3 linked regions of the Drosophila melanogaster genome follow. The protein of the gene in region 1 interacts with the protein of each later gene in a pairwise test. Each region holds a gene or a part of one and is shown in the gene's direction. Other genes may lie near its edges.

Region 1 (7,733 bases):
TGCAGCACAGGAACAGCGAGCTGGAAACAAAGCTGGTTGATGCGGCCAGCATGGTAATATTGAGATCTCTCTTTAAATATTTACCCAAAGATTCGCGTGCTTTCAGCTTGGCAGCGAGGACGCACTGAGCGCCACCGGCAGCGATACTACTCCTCTACACAATCTCCAGCAGCAGTCGAATAGCAACCAACTCACCTCCGAGGATCGCATTGCGCTGCTCGAGAAGGAGGCGGCGCATTGGAGGGCTCAATTCGAAGTGGCCAAGCTGCATCAAGCATTTGTCTCGAACCCCAGCAAGGATCTCAGCACGTGCAGCTGCAGCACGGCGGCGGCGGGCGTCACCGTTCGACCGGCAGAGTCGGAGGCGAAAGGCAGCCAGCGGGCGCGGGATTCGCTGCAGGATCCCCCCGAACCGCCCACCAAGGAGCAGCTCATCTACAGTGTGTTCAGCAAGAAGTTCGAGGATCTGATGCGACTGAAAGTGCAAGCGGAATCCAAGTTGCGATCCTACGAGCTGGAGGTTCAGCACCTGCAAAACTGCCTGGAGAACGCAACGCACGAACTTAAGGCCAAGGACGATCAGTTGGCCAGTTTGGGTGGAGCCCTGCAAATGCTCGAAGAGGAGTTGGTGAGTTGTGCCTGCAGTTTTGTGCTCTTAGAACCAAGTGACATCTCGGATTTCCTTAGACTACGACGCGTATTAACTACGAGGAGCAAATCAGCGTGCTGACGGAGCAGGTCATCAGCTTGAGTGACCAGCTGGCCGCCTGCAAATGAGCATGGACAGCGGCGCGCATCCCGCCCAGCTGCTTTACTGTATATTGTTGTAAAATAACTAACTGGGAACGCCCGCTCCCCCTCTACCCTGTTTTGTTATTGTCCACCCTCGACGTGTATATAACTGAACATTCTATGTGTATTAAATAATTCTCTAAAGTTTAAAGTTTACAATTTGATTGAGAAGGAGGAGCCGCAGGAGCAGCCCTGTTCCGCCAGCGGATTGGCCACCATCCGGAAACCGGCGCGTATTAGTTCGCTATGGTAGTCCACGGTGGCGCCGCTGCAGTACTCCAGCGAGACTGTATCGATCACCACCTTGGCCTCAGCCTCGCCAAACTGTCGGTCATCCTCGTTCAGCTGCTTATCCAAATCGAATTTGTACTGAAAGCCGGAGCATCCGCCTCCTTCGACGGTCACACGCAGGAAAGATCCATCCACGCAGATCTCACGGAGCCGTTTCAAGCAGCTCTCGCTCACCTGGACACTAAGTTCGGGATTCGCGGATGTGGAAGCGGTTGCATGCCGCATTAGGATTAGATTTCTATGGAAGATCAAGCATTTATTGTGGGATTTGTCACGCAATTTTTCCTAGCTTATTTCACCTTTGCAATCCGCTCCTGGCCACTTGTCGCAGTAGGAACGCCATAATTTTACGATTTCACAGCCAAAAAATGTAATTTCAATATTTCTATTTACTATCTCGTAATCCAAACAATTTCAGCTGATTTCGCACGATAACGATAGGTGTCGATAGTTCGATACATCCCAACTGGGCCATCTAGGCTTGTGTACATGCTGTTGTGATGTTTTCGTTTTCAAACTGAGTTTATTGTCATGTAGCTTTCAAATTGCATTCATTAAATTTTATAATTTAAAAAAAAACACGTAGTTTTTCGATCATTTAATTTCCGAATTTGTATTGTGCCTTGAGTGCGTGCTACTTACCAGCTGGTATATTTTAGACGCATGTAAATTCTAGTACATTCAATTATTCATCTACGGTCACACTGCCGCTTGGGAGGAATTTTTAAAGACGTTGGGTTGTTTGATTTTACGCTCAAACTTGTTTCGATTTCTACTGCGTAAATGCTGCCCCACATACGAATTTATTACATATATCGATAGAGCAGATGGCTCTGCAGCTAACAGTAAATGGAAAGTTCGGGGCCAACCTGAGGAGGACCATAGGACCACTGGACGATCCAGAGCAAGTACGCAAAGATCTCGAAAGTGAGCGTCGCATAACCCGTTTGAAGCAGGTAACTTGTCCCTTGGGTTCCGAGCCCATTGCGCAGTAATTGTAACACAAAGCGTGACCACTTAATTTTATAACCAGGTGCGGGAGAAGTCAAACCACCTGGCACGCCAGATACGCGAGGATGTGGCTGCCGAAAAGAGGCGTCAAATCCACAAATTAGAGCAGGTCAAGCAAAGGGAGCTAAATGCGTGGCGTGAGCATGTTTTGGTCAAAAAGCACCAGGACTACCGTTCGGCCATTTTCCAGGTGGGCGCCGCCCATCGCGCCGCAAAGGAGGAGAACGAACGCATCGAGCAGCAGAGGCAAGAGAGAATCGACAAAATCCGAAGGTGTCGCAAGCAGGCCTTGAAAAGATCGGCTAAAGCCAGCGTTGAGTTGCGGACCACAAACACAATGAATTTAAATGCGGAGGGACGTGCCTCGGCGGGAACACAAACGCCCATAGTGGAGGACAAAGAAAACCGAATGGAGAGCGGGTGTAACAAACCCTGTTGCAAGGGCAAGCGCAAAAGGAAAACCAGCTGTGGATGTGCCAGCACCGATGCAGAGGATGAGAAGGAGGATGACGCATCGTCCGATGACGACTCATCCATCCTGATCATCGAGAGTCCGAGCAGCAACCGGCGTCTCCAAAAAACTACCCCCGTAATCCTAGACGTAGAAATCGAGGAAACCATTTCTGAAACCGACAAGAATCCCGAGGGTATGGATATAAATGATAGGTTCATGCAAACCAACCGGAAATTCAGCCATGTCGTGCGACCCAGTGATGATGAACCCCAACGCCGGCCGAGATTCACTCAGATCAGCGATTTGGTAAGAAAAACCGAGACCACCGTACGAGCTGGGCCAAGTCAACGAAGGGAAGCAGATCCTACTCCACCAGTATCTGCCCCGCCTAGTCCCACCAAATCCCCGCCAAGATCGCCCAGAAAATGTGTAGAGCGTGAGGAGCCCGTTCCTGCTCCAGCACCCAGAAAATCACCCACTAAAACAGCTAAAGGATCGCCGAAGAAAACTGTGACGGCACCACGTAACCAGCCATCAGTCAAAAGAACGGGTTTAAAATTAAATCCAGCTCCTGCCAAGGTGATAGATGCGGGAATACACAGAGGTCAGAAGGCCAAAGCTCCAGCTACGCTGCCCAAAGTAACAGCTATACAGAAACCAGCAGTGGAACCTCCTCGAAACCTTCCACCGATTCCAGAACAGGCTATGCCAGCTGTGCCAAATCCGTCGATGACCCATTGTTATCCCATGCCGCAGAATCAACCATACATGCATCCGTATGCTCAACTTCCGATGCAACCATATGCGATGCCATATTCAATGCCATTTCCCGTGCAAGCCCAGTTTCCACAACCTCATCCGATGTATGCACCGCAGCAAATGATGCCGAATCAGCCAGCTGTACTCGGTCCCGCTATTACTGCTCCACCGAGCACTGCTACGCAATCCACTGTGTCCACCACCACAATTACCATGTCCTCGCGACAGGACCCAAGGACGACTCAATGTGGGCGTGTTCAGTTCTATGATCATAGCAATAAGTACCATAGAACGTACGAAGCACCAACACAGTCGGTGCAGTGCAATGAGAAGGATGCCACCCAATTGACCGCTATGGATCATGCTCGCATCGAGAACCAGCTGAGGGATCTGCGGGAACAGGAACTGGACAAACTGAGGTAGTAGCCAGTAAAAGAAACAGAACACAGAACTTATCTTAATGAATCAAATTGAAATCAATAACGTATTTCAATAGGAAAATTAGTGACGATCGTGGTCAAAAGGCTCTTGAACGCGAGCAAGTGCGTCGGGATTGTGCTGAATTAACGGAAAAGCTAGATGCTCTAACGCAACAGCAACCGCAGCTCTTGCCAACCGATGTAAGGAAATCAAATATTTTTCCTCTTTAAATAATACAAACTCATTTTCCCACCAGGCTAACATTATACCTAGCCATCGGTACGCGGATGCAGCTGCCAGGCGAGAGCAAAAGATGAACGATGCAATGGAAGAAATGCTGCTTCGACCAGCCATTATCACCTGCCCGGAAGTGCGCACCAAACCTACTCCTCCAAACTTATCGCGCAGCAAATCCAAAGCTTCTGTGGCAGTTAATTTGGGCGAACCTCCTGTTCAAATCGGCCGGGATAATCTTGGCAGCTCGGAGAGCTGCAGCTCCATTCTTCTCGACTACGTTAATGATCAAAGCAAGCAACTCAAGTCGGACCTGCAGGCCGAGCAGTCAAACTCACTGAAATCGATGAGGCTAAAGAGTTTGCTTGAGCGCATTGAGAAAATTCGAGTCCAGCTGTTGGAGGAACTGAAGGCGGGTGAGTCAGGTGCATCAAAGGGTGACAATGCACAGGAATTGAATAATATACGTCAGGAGCGAGCTGATATTCTATCCGAGCGAACGAGAACTTTAAACGAACGAGAATCTGATTTGCAACAGAAGGAGGCTATTCTCGAGCAGCGTCTAAGAAAGTTCTACAAGGAGACAAAAAACGCAAAATCCAGTGAGAGTGATAAGCCAAAATCAAACGCAAAAGAAGATGGGCCAGTTGAGATCATTATTAAGGTGAGGAGTGACGGTACTGTTAAGCAATATGTACCGAGAACAAAATCGAAAGCCAAAACCAAGCCGTCGGCTATCGACAATGAAAAGGATGTGCCCCTGGGCTCAACTGACAGCACACCAAGAGACGATGAGCCAAAGCCGACGGAACAGGATCACGGAAAGCGACCATTCTTACAGGATCAGCGTCAGATATCCATTGATTCCAACTCCACTGCCTATCGCAGTCTGCCGCCAGTGAGCTATAAAAATATGACCACGGCCGCTCCCCCTTCTGCTCCATTACATCCCATGGTGGTTCAATATATAAATCGTCTGCTAGGAATGACACGCCAAAATATCGATGAGATGGGTGTGAGTTCCTCGTGTGTGACCACACCATCAACGTCGGTGATCAACTCATTGAGAAACGTAACCCCTTGTCCCGAGCCTGAAGCGGGAAGAGCTGAAAGGGATCAGGATGAAAATACGGAGATGAACGAGCATCGCATGGAGCGGGTGCAAACCTTTATTGCCGACAATCGCAGCTTAATCAATGACTTGGAAGAATCAATACGTTGCCAGCAGCAGCTGCAAAGGGAGCAACAATCGCTGGATGCAGAGAAAAGTATGCGCGCATTCGATCAAATATGGAACAAGCGTTTGGCCAAGAATCCTGAAGATTGTCAGCAAACCAACAAAGAGAAAGAGCAAACAAGAGAAAAGATGCCAAGGGAAAGGCCGACTCCACAAGGAGATAGGAAAAATGCAGCACCTCCACAGGAAAGCGGCAAAATTCGTAGAACTCAAGAAGGGGACCGGCAGCAGCAAACAAACGGTGCAGTGCAACAAAAAAGGGAGCAAAAGACTGTAAAACAAGGTTCAGGCGCCGATAAAAGCACAAACCGCTTTGCCCCCGAAAAATCGAAAGCACTATCCACCAGTGAGGAGTCATCTGCCCGAAACATGGAACGCTATGCACAGCTCACGGAGAACTGCACCCAGCGGATCGCCGAACTTACAGAGCTGATCACGAAAGTGCGCGAGGAGAAGCAGCGACTGGTGGAGGTCACCCTCACATCGAACAGCGATGGCGAGCGGCAGTCCACTGAATATCTTGAGCTTCCAACAGGACAACAGCAAACCAGATGCCGGACAATTTCCGATCGCAGCGATTCTCAAACACCTTCGACCTCGGAAGCCTTGCCGTTGCAGAAGCACAAGCCGACAGCGGCCAGCAGGGATAGTGGCATTGCGGACTCACGTCCAATTACGGCACAGGGTCAGGTTTGTATCGATGTGGAACCCATCTCGCTTGGGTCATCAACGCAGAATAATACAGCACGCGGACGAGTAAGGGCACCTCCGGCCACGATTCGTCGGTATAGTCCTCAACTAAACGCCGAGGATCTGGCGCACGAGCTGTCGACCATTACAGAAGTGGAAACGCCAGGACAATCACATATTGTGGCCGCCACACCGGTGCCCAAGCCATTCCCTAGTTTCGATCAGTATGCCAAGGAACTGCACTTAGATCTGTCGCGGTTGGATGCTGATCAGAGCCAACGGCTGCAGGGCGAATTTAATGACTTAATACTCGCGATCAGGCAACGCAATCAAGGAACTGACTACCGTGAGTTTCCTAGCATTAATGCCTATCTTCATAACATGACTAGCACCCGAATCCATGTGGAGATAGGTCAGGATGCAGATCAGGCCACTCTGTCACCGGGTGAACTGATGCGACAGCTGCGCGTGATCACTCATAGTATCCAAGACTTTCCCAAGCGCAGGGAATACTTTGAAAAACTTATGGCCAAGCAACCACCCGATCAGAGGGATCTAATAGACAGTGCTAGCTTAGAGAATGATTCCACGGATTCATTTAACGTAGAGGAAGAACTCCGCCAGCGGAAAATTCTAAAGAACTCATTTCGTCGAGGAAACGCAACTGAGACCACATTGACGGCTCAGGAGGTGGCTAGCAGTACGCGGCGGGAAAGCGTCGCCCCAGTGACCAACGATCAACCCAACGAGAGTGGCATAGATCCCCTCTCCGGCAGCAACTTTTCCAGCGACGCGGATCAGAGAAGTCCGTGCTGGCATGCCACAATGCATGAGAGGCAACAGCAGGTGGATGAGTTGTGCAGCAGTACCACAGCCTCGTCGCCAGAACGGCGGCCACGAAAGTCTCGGCTTCGTGGAGGCCACGAGCACAACAATAGGTCTAAGGACGATTCCACTGTGCAGGATGCAAGCCAGATAGGAAGATCCCTTAATCTGAGGGAATTCCTTACGAGAGAGCTCCTCAAACATCGAGTGCACGACGACGTTGCCAGTGAGAGTTCAGATGAGTCCTTAAGGGGGCACTTTCTGAAGTCGGTCCTACATTCGCTCTCGCCCAGCAACAACACGCAAACGCCAGGAGTGGGTGTAAGCCATGCCACCGGAGCAACAAACGACAGACAAAAGACATCCACACCAGTGGGATCGTTCCTCTCCATTCCAGAGAAGGCCGGGTCCATGAGTAACACCGGCTCTCAACTGTTCTCCGGGGAGAGTCGCATCTCCCTGGTTAACTATCCAGATGGAACTCCACCCATTCCTTTTGAACAACAAAGCAAACTTAGTACAAATCAAACTCGCCAATCCTCAGGTCAAATAGGATCAGGTGTCAGGACAACGCATCGAAAGTCGCCCCGAAAATGATCGCCGAACTTTTAATTCGTTTGTTTAGGTTTTAGATTATATTATCCATTTTATGACAATTATTTATATTTTACTTACTTTGCAATTTTGTGTCAAAAAATGACTATCGAAAAAGATTGTATAAAATTTACTCAATAAGTTAAATGTACAATTTTATTACCAATTTGTGTGAAACTTATTTATATTTTAATAAACCCGACGATTATTTATTAAATTTCTATCTAGAGTTTCAAGTACAATATTTCGGTTGTATGAATATAGACTTGCAGTAATGTACACAATTTATAAACAATATATATATTTGATGGTCTAACTAGTGAGTAGATTAACCCACTGATCCTTTGAGGACCTCGGTGTTTCAGTTCTGGTCCGGTACCAGAATGTAAGTAGCTTTTGTCATGTTGTAAGTAAACATCCGATTCA
Region 2 (4,879 bases), about 13 Mb from region 1:
AAAAATGTTTTAGAAATTTGCACAAATTTTGGCATTTTATAAACGCAAAACGAACCATCATCAACCAACTAAAATGCATAACGAACGAACAAACAAATGACGAAATAGATACATATTTTCTCACACTTCATTGGCTTATCGAAGGTATAAAATCGACAATTACAGGATAGATCTAGATCGCAACACAGCCGAACCGACGACGATCGACTTCACAGGCTGCTGGCAAACGGTCCGTGCAACTTTTAGTGCATTTAAATAAATTATAAACACAAAAACAAAAGCAAACACAAAAATGATCGAAGGAGCGTAAGCGAAACATAAGCAGTTCATATTTACAGGAGCTAAATAAGTAATGCGGGGGGTTTGCGGCCAAAGAGAAGTTAAATTGTAGTTAGAGGTGGATGGATTAATACCCTAGGATGGCATTTAGGGCAAGGATCAGACGAAAAGGGCGCGTAGCATTACACCTTTTACATTAAACGACGATACGATGCCGCGCATCCAATTTGAAACTGTACGTATTGAATTTATGTTTAGTGTCTGCAGCATGCGGGGGATGTGAAGGAAGGAAGGAGGGAAGAAAAAGGATCGACGGGCGAAGAGCTAAATACATTTAAGGGTTAGATTTTCTGCGAAAGGACTGAAGTTAAGGCAACGTAGCGTTTAAATGCAAAATTGAATTGAATTGAATTGATGACGAAACCGAGTGTTATGGATAATGGAGCGTGCGCGAATGCGATTGGTGACGAAAATTACTTGTTTTAAGGCTGGACTTATGTAATTTCGAGCAAAAACGATAGTAGCGAAACAAAAACATGTAAAATGCAGATATAATATTTTTATAATTAAAACAAAGGTACCCCCACCCCACTACCCTTATCTTAATATGTTTAATTCAACTGCAATTATCGTTAAAGACGTATTTACTGTTTGTGATCCAAATTCATTGATTAAACGTAAACTACACAAAGATACAATTGTTGCATGGGCAAGGTTTGAAGTCCGGGTTCGCAAAGTACCCACAAGTACTCGATCCCCGGGTCTCAAAGACGAGGAAATCACGAGTCAATAAGCCAGGTTTAAAACTTGCAGGTGCGTCGTCAATGGCTCGCAATATTTTCCGGTCGGGCCAAATCCGAAAATGGCCTGCCCGAAAATTATACACACCTTACAGGACCGAGTGTTAAGAGTACTTTTGGACTCTCTGCGAACCCATAGAAATAGAGCAGGAACAGTAAATTGTACTTAATTGAAAAATGATATAATAAAACACCGCCACTTTGAAATATATTTACTTGAATCAAATAATATTAATGAGTATATATAACTTTGTACTTGAATAATATTTTATTTATATTTACCTTAAGTCAATAAAAATTCTAATAAATTATAATCACCCAAAAATGCATTTTGTTCAAATGTCGAGGGGAGTTCTTTTCAACTGCTGATTGGAAAATTGATGCCTTTTATTATTGATATTTGCGAATACTGATTGACAAGCTGCGAACCTTGAGTAAACGTATTCTTCCCAAAAATAAAATATAAAATAAATAAAGAAGGCTAATAAGTTTCATAGTGGGGTGTAAATTAAACAATTCAAAAGAACCGCCCAACTGTGGTTTATAAGCTTGGCGCACTACGCCAAGTAAAATACATGTAGAAAACGTGACGGCGTTGCCACTCTTATTGTATTTAGCTAGTTTAACCACCAAATAAACAGCGAAGTTCTCAACCATATGTGAGTTGCGTAGCCATACTACATTTGAAGCAAAAAACCCTAGTGTCGCTGCCGTCTTGTGGTATTTTCGTTGGCCCGAAAAACGGTCCTACCAAAATGGTACCTCCGGCCACACGGATGAATTCGTCGTCATTCGTCGGAATCATTCGAACTTTGAAAATGGATCGGTAGCTGGGAAGGAAACTTAAAGCGAAATACGCAAAGAAAACGGCTTTTGTCCGCTATTCAGCGATTTTTTTTGTGTTGTAATCAGCAGAGGAAATTTTAACGACCAACTCCACCGCCACACCAGCCATCTCCAGCAGCTCCGGAAAATAAAATAGAACTAAATTAACGCCTCCATCACTACAACAACCATCTCACCAACAACTACAAGAGCAACAACCACAGCAACAGCACTACTGCACCAAGCCCACAAAGAAGAGGTGAAACGCAAAAATCGCAATACCCGAAGAAAAAAACAAAAAATATCGCAGATAACCGAAAAAAGCGGTGCAAATAGATAAACCCCATTTTTTGCTTGAGCTTTTTTCGCCTGTGTGATGAGAGAAATCAGCAGCAGCCATCGATTACAACAACAACAGCAGCCACACCAACGACGACTCAACCACCAAACCAAGAATAAATAAACAGCGGAGAGCGATAGATAGAGAGAGAGAGAGAGAGGAGCATCTGCAGCAGAATTGAATCAGTTTTTTCATCAACCGCCGCATTGTATTAAAAACACAAAAATCCCATAGGCGGCCACCATTTTGATTTTGAATGAACTGAACGAGAAGAGAGGAAAGAGCACGAGAGACTGAGAAAAACTGCTGCTCATTTGTTGCACCGTAAACCCTTTTTCCAGCTTGTAAGCACTCTGCCTGTCTCACTCTAATCGCGTCCAGGAGCACCGTACAGTAACAACAACAGCAACAACATGGTGGAGCCCAAGTCCGGGACAGCTGCTTCTGCCGCTGCTGCGAAAGCAAGCAACAACAATAACAACAACCACCCCCGTGGATCTGGGGACAGCGGCATCCGGAGTGGCAGCGGCATTTCCTGCAGCAACACGGACAACAGCTGCAGCCAGAGTCAGTCAGGTGAGCAATTTGAGTTTCTAGAACTCTGGGAGTTTGACACTAAATTCCCATAGCTGAGAAGCAAACTGTGATGCATGAGATATATTTTGGAAACCTTCTGAAGAGATTTCGCATATTTGCGCTTCGTGTGTCACCAGTTTAATTTTAACTAGACAACATGTTAACAGAATGATGAAATAATTGCAAATATTTGCTCTGACTGTGAATTTGGCAGCTCTTTCGTATAAATTTGAACTTCTACCTATTGGAAATTCACCTGTATCTCTGTCGTAATATTGTTGTATTGCCTAAATATAAAGTATATTTCGTAGGCAACAGTTATTTGCATGCCAAAAGAAAACAAAAGCCTTATTTAAGCATATAATTATTATTTTGAGAATGTGACAAACGTTCTTTGCTTCTTAAAGTTGTACCTATAAAATACGATTTGTAGGATATTTCTGCTAAAATGCAATGGTAAAAAAAAGATATACGTTAATGTAATATTTTGTATCGGAAGTTATACTTCCTCTAAAGTTCCTAACCATATGTATGTATTATTCTGCTTGTCATTGGGTGGGGACTGACTACCAATCAGAGAAAAGACCCGACCATTGCTCCTACGCTTTCATTCAGTGGATTTCTAGTCAGTTATCGGCAAAGCTGGGCCAGGCAGCACTTTCGTTTCGTTTACCCTTGCTAATCAATCGAACGAACTAGGGAGCATTGACTGACTGGGCCACGTTGCGCACCGGGTGCCGCAGTGTATTTCCTTGACGTCACACGATGTTCGAGAACATGCATGCTGTCTGCCTGCCGGCGCCCAACCCCACCACCCACTCCGCTTCCCTTCACCCACCCCGCACAGTCTGTGTGGTGTTTACAGTTGTTTTGTTTCGCCAAGAGAACCCCATTGCATCATTCGACTGGGGCCATTAAGCTGAATATAAGTGTGTATGTGCCCTAATTTTAGGGGTATTCCAGCATCTGGACTTTATAACCATCACTGGGGGTGTTATTATTGTACACAAGTTCTTAATTATATGTGGGATTTGATATATGCTATAAAATAACAATGACAAAGATCAACTAAATCCACTAATTAGTCATATTCTAACTGGAGGTTAAACTAGAAGTTTGTTGTTTTCGTTTAGATAGTGATTATAGTCCATACTTTGTGTTTATCAAAGATAATCTTATGAAACAGGACAGATTGTTGTGTAAATATGCTAGATACGGTTGGGTTGGACCACTGACATCCACTAATTCCACTAATATCCTATAAAATCGGGCATAAGTGAGCTGCTTTGAAAAATCATGAAATCCATATGGGTAAACTGCTGTACAATAGGAATATATTCACACATACATATGTAGATTTCAGCACCAATAGTTACCCTTTGTAATTAGACCAGTTGACTGGTATAAATTCGCATAATATGATTATCAATTTAAGCAATACTAGATTCCAAGCACAAAAGGGTATTCCTTTTCCCTGCCATTCCACCAACACCACCAAAGCTGCCGGCGAAGTGAGAGAGACGGCACTAGTATCTGTGCCAGCTAGCCGAGACCGAGAAATTGAAATTGAGCGTGTGCAGGCAGTTATGGAAATGGAAAATGACTCATGATGGCTGATCGATTGAGCGTAATGCACTGACACTCGTGTTCAAATGCGTATTCGTGCCCAAAATGCAGCGAACGCGGCGAAATGTGAACAAACTACGATTATAACCTTCATGACGTTTATTGCACTTGGTGTGACGTTCGTTGCTTGGCCTCCCACACATATAAAATGTGTGCGCCCATTAGGAGTTGTGCTGGAGTGGATTTTGCAGCTGCAATCAACTGAGTGCAAAACGCTGTCAATTGGAGCCCACCAGCTGGAAACTTGTTTTCCCCCCAACGATCCATAATAATTTTCCATAATTATCGAGAAGTTTTTCATTCTATCGAGGCCTATCGATAGGAGGACATCTAGTGGTGCCTACGTGCAGCCTCCTCCGATTCATGAAATCAGCCCAATATATCTCTGTCTCCCTTGCTCGTTTGCGCAAAAGCCCTGAGAGAGAAATTTATT
Region 3 (7,665 bases), on another chromosome or scaffold:
TAACAAACGAATAAAATGGGTAAAATTGCCAAGAGCATGCTATATGAAGTTCAAAGCACTCTGTATAATGAATGGCAATTATTTTAAATTGGTTTGTAAGCCAGAAATGTTCAGTAGAGCCGGGTTTTTCGTATTTTAAAGTTACAAATAGAAATTCACACTTTAATAGCTCAAAGTCTCATGAGGCCGGTTCCTAGAACTCACTCATAATATTTAATGGAATATCTTTTATAAGCCATTCAAAGTTTGATACTAATGGGTTGCAGTGACACAAATCAAATGGCAAACATTTTCCTGGTGCAATATAAATCTTTTTTGCTTCAGTCGGTCGAAGTTCAATGGGTGGAGATGCGGGACGATAATGGTCCAATAATCGGGCACTTAAGTGGCCAATCCGATAAGATTAGCCATAAATAATAATGAACTTGTTGCTTAGCTCCCCTTTTTGGCTCAGTGTCCAAAATATTCAATTGTAAATTACTCGAGCGACATCCAATCGGAATGTCAATCGCAGTTGCATGCCATTTCTAATTAGAAAAGAGTAGACGGGCCATTGATTTCCAACTGGATGGTGAGATATACATATGTACATATATGTACGCAAAAGGTGGAAAAGCGAAGGTTGCGACCGGCGAAATGGTTTCTGGGGTGTGGTAGGGGCGGCATCGGGGCGAGGGAGTTACCCGGGCGTGCGCCAGTGACATCATTTCGCTATTTCCATTTTCATTTCCAGCATATGCTTTGTTTGCACTACGAATTCATCAAGTGTCATTTGGCACTATGTGCGTACACTGTGCACATGTATGTGTGAGTAAAGTTTGTTTGCCTCAAAAATAAAGCAAACAAAAACATAAACTTAAAACAACACAATCCAACCGATGACGTCACGAGGGAGCCTTTTTATTGTTCAAAATGGAACAATGAATGGGTCACAAGGATAAGAATGATCAGAAATAGCACTTTGTTGAAGTTTAAATTGCAAATAACCGGTTGGCGAACAATGATTAGCGGTTACAAAGCGTTTGGCTGTATTCACAATCGCACAGCTACACTTTAGAGCGGCACGTAAACAAAACGATATGAAACCCAAGATAAGCATTTATACACACACACACACAGAGAGAAAAGTCTAGTTCTCCACCGCAGCGGCAAACAAACTCTATTATTTACCCGCTAAGCACAAACTCAAGTCCAATCAGATGGGCGACTTTTTTTTAAACCTACAGCGCTAGCGTGACCGTGCTTGCCATGCTGGGAAATAACAAACTCGGTTGCGACCAAATTATCGATAGACAAATATGGCAATTTAATACGCGTAGTTTAGTTTTGGTGAAATAAGGCAAATATCAGAGGCATAATTTATAAGATTATTAAGTAAAACCATATAAATAATATAAAAATAAAACAATTAGATGAATAAAAGTTCTTCAACAAAAAAGGGATTAGGTTCAAGTAATTGTTTATTATGTGTGAAAAGCACCTAATTCTTAGGGAGCAATAAAAGATTGATGCGGAATATTGTTCGTTGTTGCTGATGCGAGGTGTCAGGTGGAGAAATACTATTTTAATAGGTTTAGTATTTTTAGACCCTTATGCAGGGAACGCACACTCAAGCAGAGTGGCAACGCCAGCCAAAATTCGAGTTTGACGCTTTCAAAAATGACATCCTAAAACGTTTGCTGCCTGGAAGAGAAGTGAAAACGAACTAAAAGTCGGGTATTATTAGTCTAAGGAAATGAGTACCAAACAGAGCCCGGCCCTCCAGCTGGCGGAGGGGCAGCTAACCAAGCTGACTAGCGAATCGGAAGAGATCCGTATGCGCGCGCTCGACCAGATTGAGACGAGATTCATCAGGTGCCTGCAACTGGGCGAGCCGATACAGTTCAAGCCGGTCCTGCTGCTGAAGCAGCTCATCCGCTGGTTCGGGTACACACCGCCGCTGGTGCCCGACCGTGTGCTGGCCATGATTATGGAACTCCTTCGATCCGAGTACGCCGAGGCGGTGATTCGCAAGATTCCTTACGAACGCTTCAAGGCCGAGCTGCAGAAGGTTCGCCGTGTGCTACACAAGCAGGAGTCCAAGCGGGTCAGCGAATTGCTGGATGATATGAATTTGCTGCTTCTCGAGAAGTACAACATAGACCGGGTGACGCCGAGCGTCTCCAGCCTTAGTTCAAATGACATTCCCAGTCAGGCAACTGAATCCGCAGACAGCAGTTCGAATCAGATTTACGACAATCTGAAACCGGAAGATTACGAGCCCTCCTGGTCGCATCCGTGCTTGGACGATGTGGCCACCATGAAGAGCATGATTGATTTGCCACGAAATAGCGTTGAGTTGCAGTTGCAGCTCACCGAACTGATCATCCGTATGGGCGACTACCCAACTGAGTACTTTCTGCAGCCACCGTTCGTATTCTTGCATCTGGTTCAGTTGCAAACGATGACTGACGGTAGCCTGATACATGTGAACCGGGCACTAATTGCCTGCCTGCGGCTGCTGCAGCAGCGCATCTTGTTGCGCCGAAACACTCTGAGCTACGCGGACAGGTTCGATCCTCCGTCACGCCCCAAGCAAGTGAAGGTGGTGAGCGCCTTGGTAATTCTGCTGGAAAATTGCATGAAGCTGATTCGTCCGTTGCTGTTCAGCTGCACAAACGACAACTGGCACATAATGGAGCTGATCGTGGAAATAGTGCGGACCCACGATGTTCTCAGCTCAAAAATTCCCTTAGTGAGCATTACGCTCATCGCGGACGCGGTCAAAAGTCTGCTGGCGTATTGTAACAGTGTAGAAGGCAGTTGCATGACCCAGCTGATGGACTCGCTCAGGATTCCCCGCCTGCAATCGCTGATCCTTAACGGCGTGCTGCACGATATGGTGGCCTTAAATATAAACTATGACAAACGCATGGACCGACGCCAAGCCAAAGCACTCATCCAACCTATAGTTTTGGACAGCGCTTACCTGTCTGGCATGCCCGAGCGCATGAAGTCGCTAAACACTCTAATATCGTCTTTGGATTCTGGACCATCACCGGACGAGGAGTTGATCAAGCTGAAGCGGGCCTACAGCGTGGCCCTAAATCAATTACATCCGAATACGGAACTGACTGGGTCGCTGCTAATCCAGAAGTACAGACAAGTGTGCCTTGTGCTCGTCCAACTGGGCAGTGAGACATTGGTAAAGCAGCTCTTCGGAGCTGTTGTAAAATGCATTCCATTCTACGCGGGCAATTTAAAGCTAAGAAAGGATGCGGATGAGCTGCTTTACACCCTTGTTGATTTGCCTGCTCTCAAACTTCGTTCACTTATATATCGTTTAATGATCAAATCCACCGTGGCCCACTTTCATTCCTTTATGAACAAGACAGTCTATATGACCGGCTGCAGCAATGTGGATCTGATTCGTCAGCATATCTTAGGCGTGCCGCTAACTCCCCTGCTGTTACGCAGAATGATAATTCAGAGTTCGGAAGCAAATACTTCGGAACGTATGCAGCAGTGGTGCCTCGACTATCCTATAATGATTATGAAGCTAAACGCTATTCTAGCTCCGCAGGATTTCAGCGTTGTTTTCCCGTTGCTACTCCCCGTGCTGCCTCTGCTGATCAGCAGGTCGGTTACACACAAGATATTGCACAACGTCATATGGAACGTTTTAGAGCCGGACTCCAGCCGTTTGGATCCGCAATTGATGCTGCGCGGGTACGTTTACTTCATGTTCCATCCGGATGGCGAGGTTAGGAGCGAGGCCACCACTACAATTGCTTACGTGCTGCAATGTCAGGAGCAAACGAATAGATATTTGCCCACCGCAAGCAACGTACCGGTTGAGCACATCGCCAACGATCTCTGCATAATTCAACCACCATTCTGTTATAGAAGCATTTTCATCAAATGCTCTGATGAGCGGTTTCAAGGTCAGCGCAGCTTGGACGCCCTGTTCCGATTACTCCAGGCCAAGGACATAAAGTCGAATATCCGAAAGTCAACAATGACTCAATTAAATGTCTTGCTACGAAACTGGAGAGCTTGTGAGGAATTCTCCACAAAGGAGGATGGATATCGACTGATTATGGAGTCTCTGCACAACGCTCTGAAAAAGGGGAACGACACTGATATTCTGCTGCCCACTGTGAGTATCCTGATGAAGCTTCTGTTCAATGACGATGAGTTTCGATTAGAAGTCGCGAACACATTCGGGGTGTACACTTTACTGCTGAGGGCTTTATTCTTGTTCCCCCACTTGGAACAGTTGCGCCAGGATGTCAGTATATGCCTGTTCCAAATGCTGTTCCAGAATTGTATCACCTCCACTGAAGACAAACTGGTACTGAATGCGAATATGGAACCCCTGATTTTGCCTGTAACCTATGAAATTGAACATAAAGTTATACCCACTGCCGTTACGGAAGGATTGGAGCTGCAACAAAATGTGGAGGCGACCCATTTCGGGCGAGATAGGGCAAAAGCTGCACAGCATTGGCGACTGTATATGGCCTATCGCGTTTGCCAGGTTCCATCCAGCATTACTTTGGAGTCTGTGAGCGCTTTGGATATAAGGGAGTCTCTTAAGATCAAAATGGCCGATTTGGCGTTAGTAAGATCCTCCGACTTAAATGAGCAGCTAAGTTGTCAGTTTATCGCAGCGGAGAATTGCAGCAAACACGAGGATCTGCAAAAAACTGTGTCGGCCATTCAGCTATTTCTCGTGGTTCTGCGAAACTCATTAAGTGATACGGTGGCTGAGAACTTGTGGAAATTAATCCATAAGTACATCCGCTTAGCGCCGGGGAACGAAGCGGATGACAAGGTGTACAAGTCCATGCTGGATCTGTGCGTAACATGCATTCGCTTCAGCCAGCCACATGCTATCAACGGACTGAGCTACGCTCTGGAAACGGATCATCATCACAGCTTCCAATTACTCCTGCACGATAGCCAAATTTCTCTGGATAAGCTATTCCTGATTTGCCAGTGCATGATGCAGCTTTTGTCCAACGAGCTCAGTGATGATTCGATGAACTGGTATGGCAAGTTCTTTATGCAATTGAGTGCCGTGGCCAAGACGCACTTTGAATTGCGCCAGCTGCAGCACGTTCGCTGCATACTTTGCATGCTGCGCTTTGTAAGCGAGCGAAATCTGAAATTTAGTAATGCTCAGTTGATGGTGAGTAAAGGATCATCGTCATTAGATATTGATTTCTTACCTTGAATTTTTGTCCGCAGAGCTACTCTCAGCATTTTATCCAATTGTCCAGCAATTTACGTACCTCAACTCAAACCGGATCCGAGTGGCAGCGGGACTGCTTGTACATAATCTGTCAGCTCCAGATCCATCTAATATATCAGGAGCCAAAGGCGTCCAGCAAGGCCAGTATCCCAAACGATGTCGGAGCTTCATATAAGGTCTTGCGCTATTTCTTAACACTTTGCGGGCACGGTGACAGTGAAGTGCGTGCATTGTCCTGGGTATCGTTGGCCAATTGGATAACCATCTGTGGCTCGCAGGTAGCAGAAATTCTGCCTCGCCTGGATTTTCTACCCGGCGGACTGCCGGCTTGCTGTTTAACCACTCTGACGGATGCCCACGAAATGATGCTGATCAGGGAGTTGGCCGGACGAGTATTTATCCTTCTGATGCCGCTCATTGGTGCCGAAAGTAGCTTGGAATTGTTGCGGAAACATGACTTACTAAAGACCGCCTACAATTCGCTGAAAGCAATTCACGACACTCCCTGGATGTTCAAGAAGATAGTTGGTGAGCGGCATTCGTGTGAAGTAATTAGCTGCTATGTTGCCATATGCACCAAAATGGTGGCCATGAAGCCAGAGTGGTGTGCCGCGCTCTGCGGCCACAGTTTGATGAGTGGTCTCAGCGATGTGATGAAAAAACTCAAGTCGCAGGCGTCCTGTTCGATTCCGCTTGTGGAACTGTGTGCATCCCAAATTTGTGAATTGTACTCGATGTGCTACACTAATAACTTTGAGTTCCTTAAGATGACGATTTGTCGAGATTCTGTATTCTTGCAGAATTATTTAACGCTGATCAACGATGTTTTGAGTTTGGAATGTCCCGAGTACATGGTGATTCCCCTATTAAAGATGTTTCTCATATTCTGCACGGACTCGAATTCGAACTCATTTCTCATCGAACAGATAAAGAATAAGCCATCTCTATTCATGGATTTCTTCCTGTTTGGATTGCATGTGAAGCTTATTAATTCGCCATTTCAGCGCTTTACTCTGTCAGCATTATCACTTGTGTTCACCAAAGCTCAACTTGCTGCGTATGATATAAGCATGCTAAGTGAGTTGGAGAAGTTCGAATTAGCATTCAGTGATCCTGATATTGCTAAAGATGGCAAACAAGAATTCGAGTCAAAAAAGAAGCAATCTGTATCGCAATGCATCTACGATGAATCCTCGGATAATTCGGATGACAATAAGCAAAGGCCAAACCATGCGATCCAGGCCACTAATGCGGCTATTATAATTTTCCATCGCTTGGATCAGCTCTTTGACCGTTACTATCTATCGAAGGCCTTAAACTTTTTGGAACTTCCTGCAGTGGGCCAGGTGCAGGTTTGTGAAGCACTCGGCGAACTGCTTAAGGCATCAACCTGGGCCGTGAAAGCAGCCGGAGAATCGAAGCTGCTTGGCAAGGTAGTTCACATTCTGGACGATTTTCTCAATGACGAAAAAATCGGAAACGCCGCCGTCTATGTGAAGCGAGTGGGACCTCACAAGGCGCAAAGTATCATAAGCAATCTCTTGGTACTGATTAACATGCTATCCCAATGGCATAGTTCTCCCAATTCTGAGATCATCCAGACCAGTATGGCTGCGAATATCGCCAAAATCCTCATCCGCATTTGGCCTTGGTTATCGCACTCGTATCACTTAAAAAAGGTTACTGTCCAGCTGATTATGTTCCTTACGGAGCATTCATTCGAAATGTGTAAACAGATATCCCTGCTTCAGTCGGGACATGCCCAATCCCTGCTACACCTAATGGCTCGCGTCGCTGACTTCGAGACCACCAAGAAGGAGATTCCAAACAAAGAGCCATCTCTGAATATGGTGCCCGCACTAAGGGTTATGGTAAACTGCTGTTGCTGCACCGAGGGTCGGCTGAGTTTGTCCAAAATGAATTTGCTGGATATGTTTGACACAATCCTTCCTGCTAATCCGTGCTCAACACATCTTAAAGTGCGACCACCTGTACTGATTGCATGGCTCGGATTCTGGGAGGTATTTTCCCGGTACGACGTAGGAGGAAAGGCTTGCCATCTTCAATCTCTTATAAACACGATTCGGCGTAGTCCTCCATTGAGTCACAAGCGGATCCTGTGCCTTCGAATACTCCGCAACATGTGCTTCTTCAATGGTAATCGCCCCCGGCTCGTGGAGCTGGCTGACTTTATTAACCTGCTGCGTGATATTTTGGAGCAGAGGGTCCAAAAAGCACCCACATCCGAGAAAAACGGGCTGAACTCCTTCGAGGAGCACCGCCTGGCTGTCCTCATGTTGTGGAAACTCTTCGGTTTCGGTGCCAAATATAAGGGCATGCTGCGGGGCACCAAGCTCTTTAAACTGCTGATTGGCCTTCGGGTGGAGATGTCGGTGGTCTTCTCGGAGGAAGAGAATAAGTACGCAGGC

The links. The genes of interacting proteins can lie anywhere in the genome.
Region 2: the proteins of ana1 (region 1) and Lk6 interact in a two-hybrid assay, tested with the Drosophila melanogaster proteins (one study listed by BioGRID).
Region 3: the proteins of ana1 (region 1) and ana3 interact in a two-hybrid assay, tested with the Drosophila melanogaster proteins (one study listed by BioGRID).

Annotation. Positions count from the first base shown.
Region 1 is NT_033777.3:24,528,876-24,536,608, forward strand, and holds ana1 (anastral spindle 1), read left to right. Parts: upstream 1-1,700; 5' UTR 1,701-1,910; coding exon 1,911-2,039; intron 2,040-2,116; coding exon 2,117-3,726; intron 3,727-3,803; coding exon 3,804-3,927; intron 3,928-3,983; coding exon 3,984-7,310; 3' UTR 7,311-7,520; downstream 7,521-7,733. Other genes in the region: CG6607 (uncharacterized protein), read left to right, coding at 1-53, 107-628, 688-777; CG13623 (uncharacterized protein), read right to left, coding at 946-1,321, 1,383-1,426.
Region 2 is NT_033777.3:11,761,425-11,766,303, reverse strand, and holds the start of Lk6 (Lk6 kinase), read left to right. Parts: upstream 1-1,846; 5' UTR 1,847-2,657; coding exon 2,658-2,820; intron 2,821-4,879.
Region 3 is NT_033778.4:12,343,351-12,351,015, forward strand, and holds the start of ana3 (anastral spindle 3), read left to right. Parts: upstream 1-1,632; 5' UTR 1,633-1,735; coding exon 1,736-5,173; intron 5,174-5,232; coding exon 5,233-7,665. UniProt on the Drosophila melanogaster protein: Participes in the structural integrity of both centrioles and basal bodies and in centriole cohesion. Participates in the later stages of centriole assembly through the interaction with Rcd4 leading to the centriole to centrosome conversion.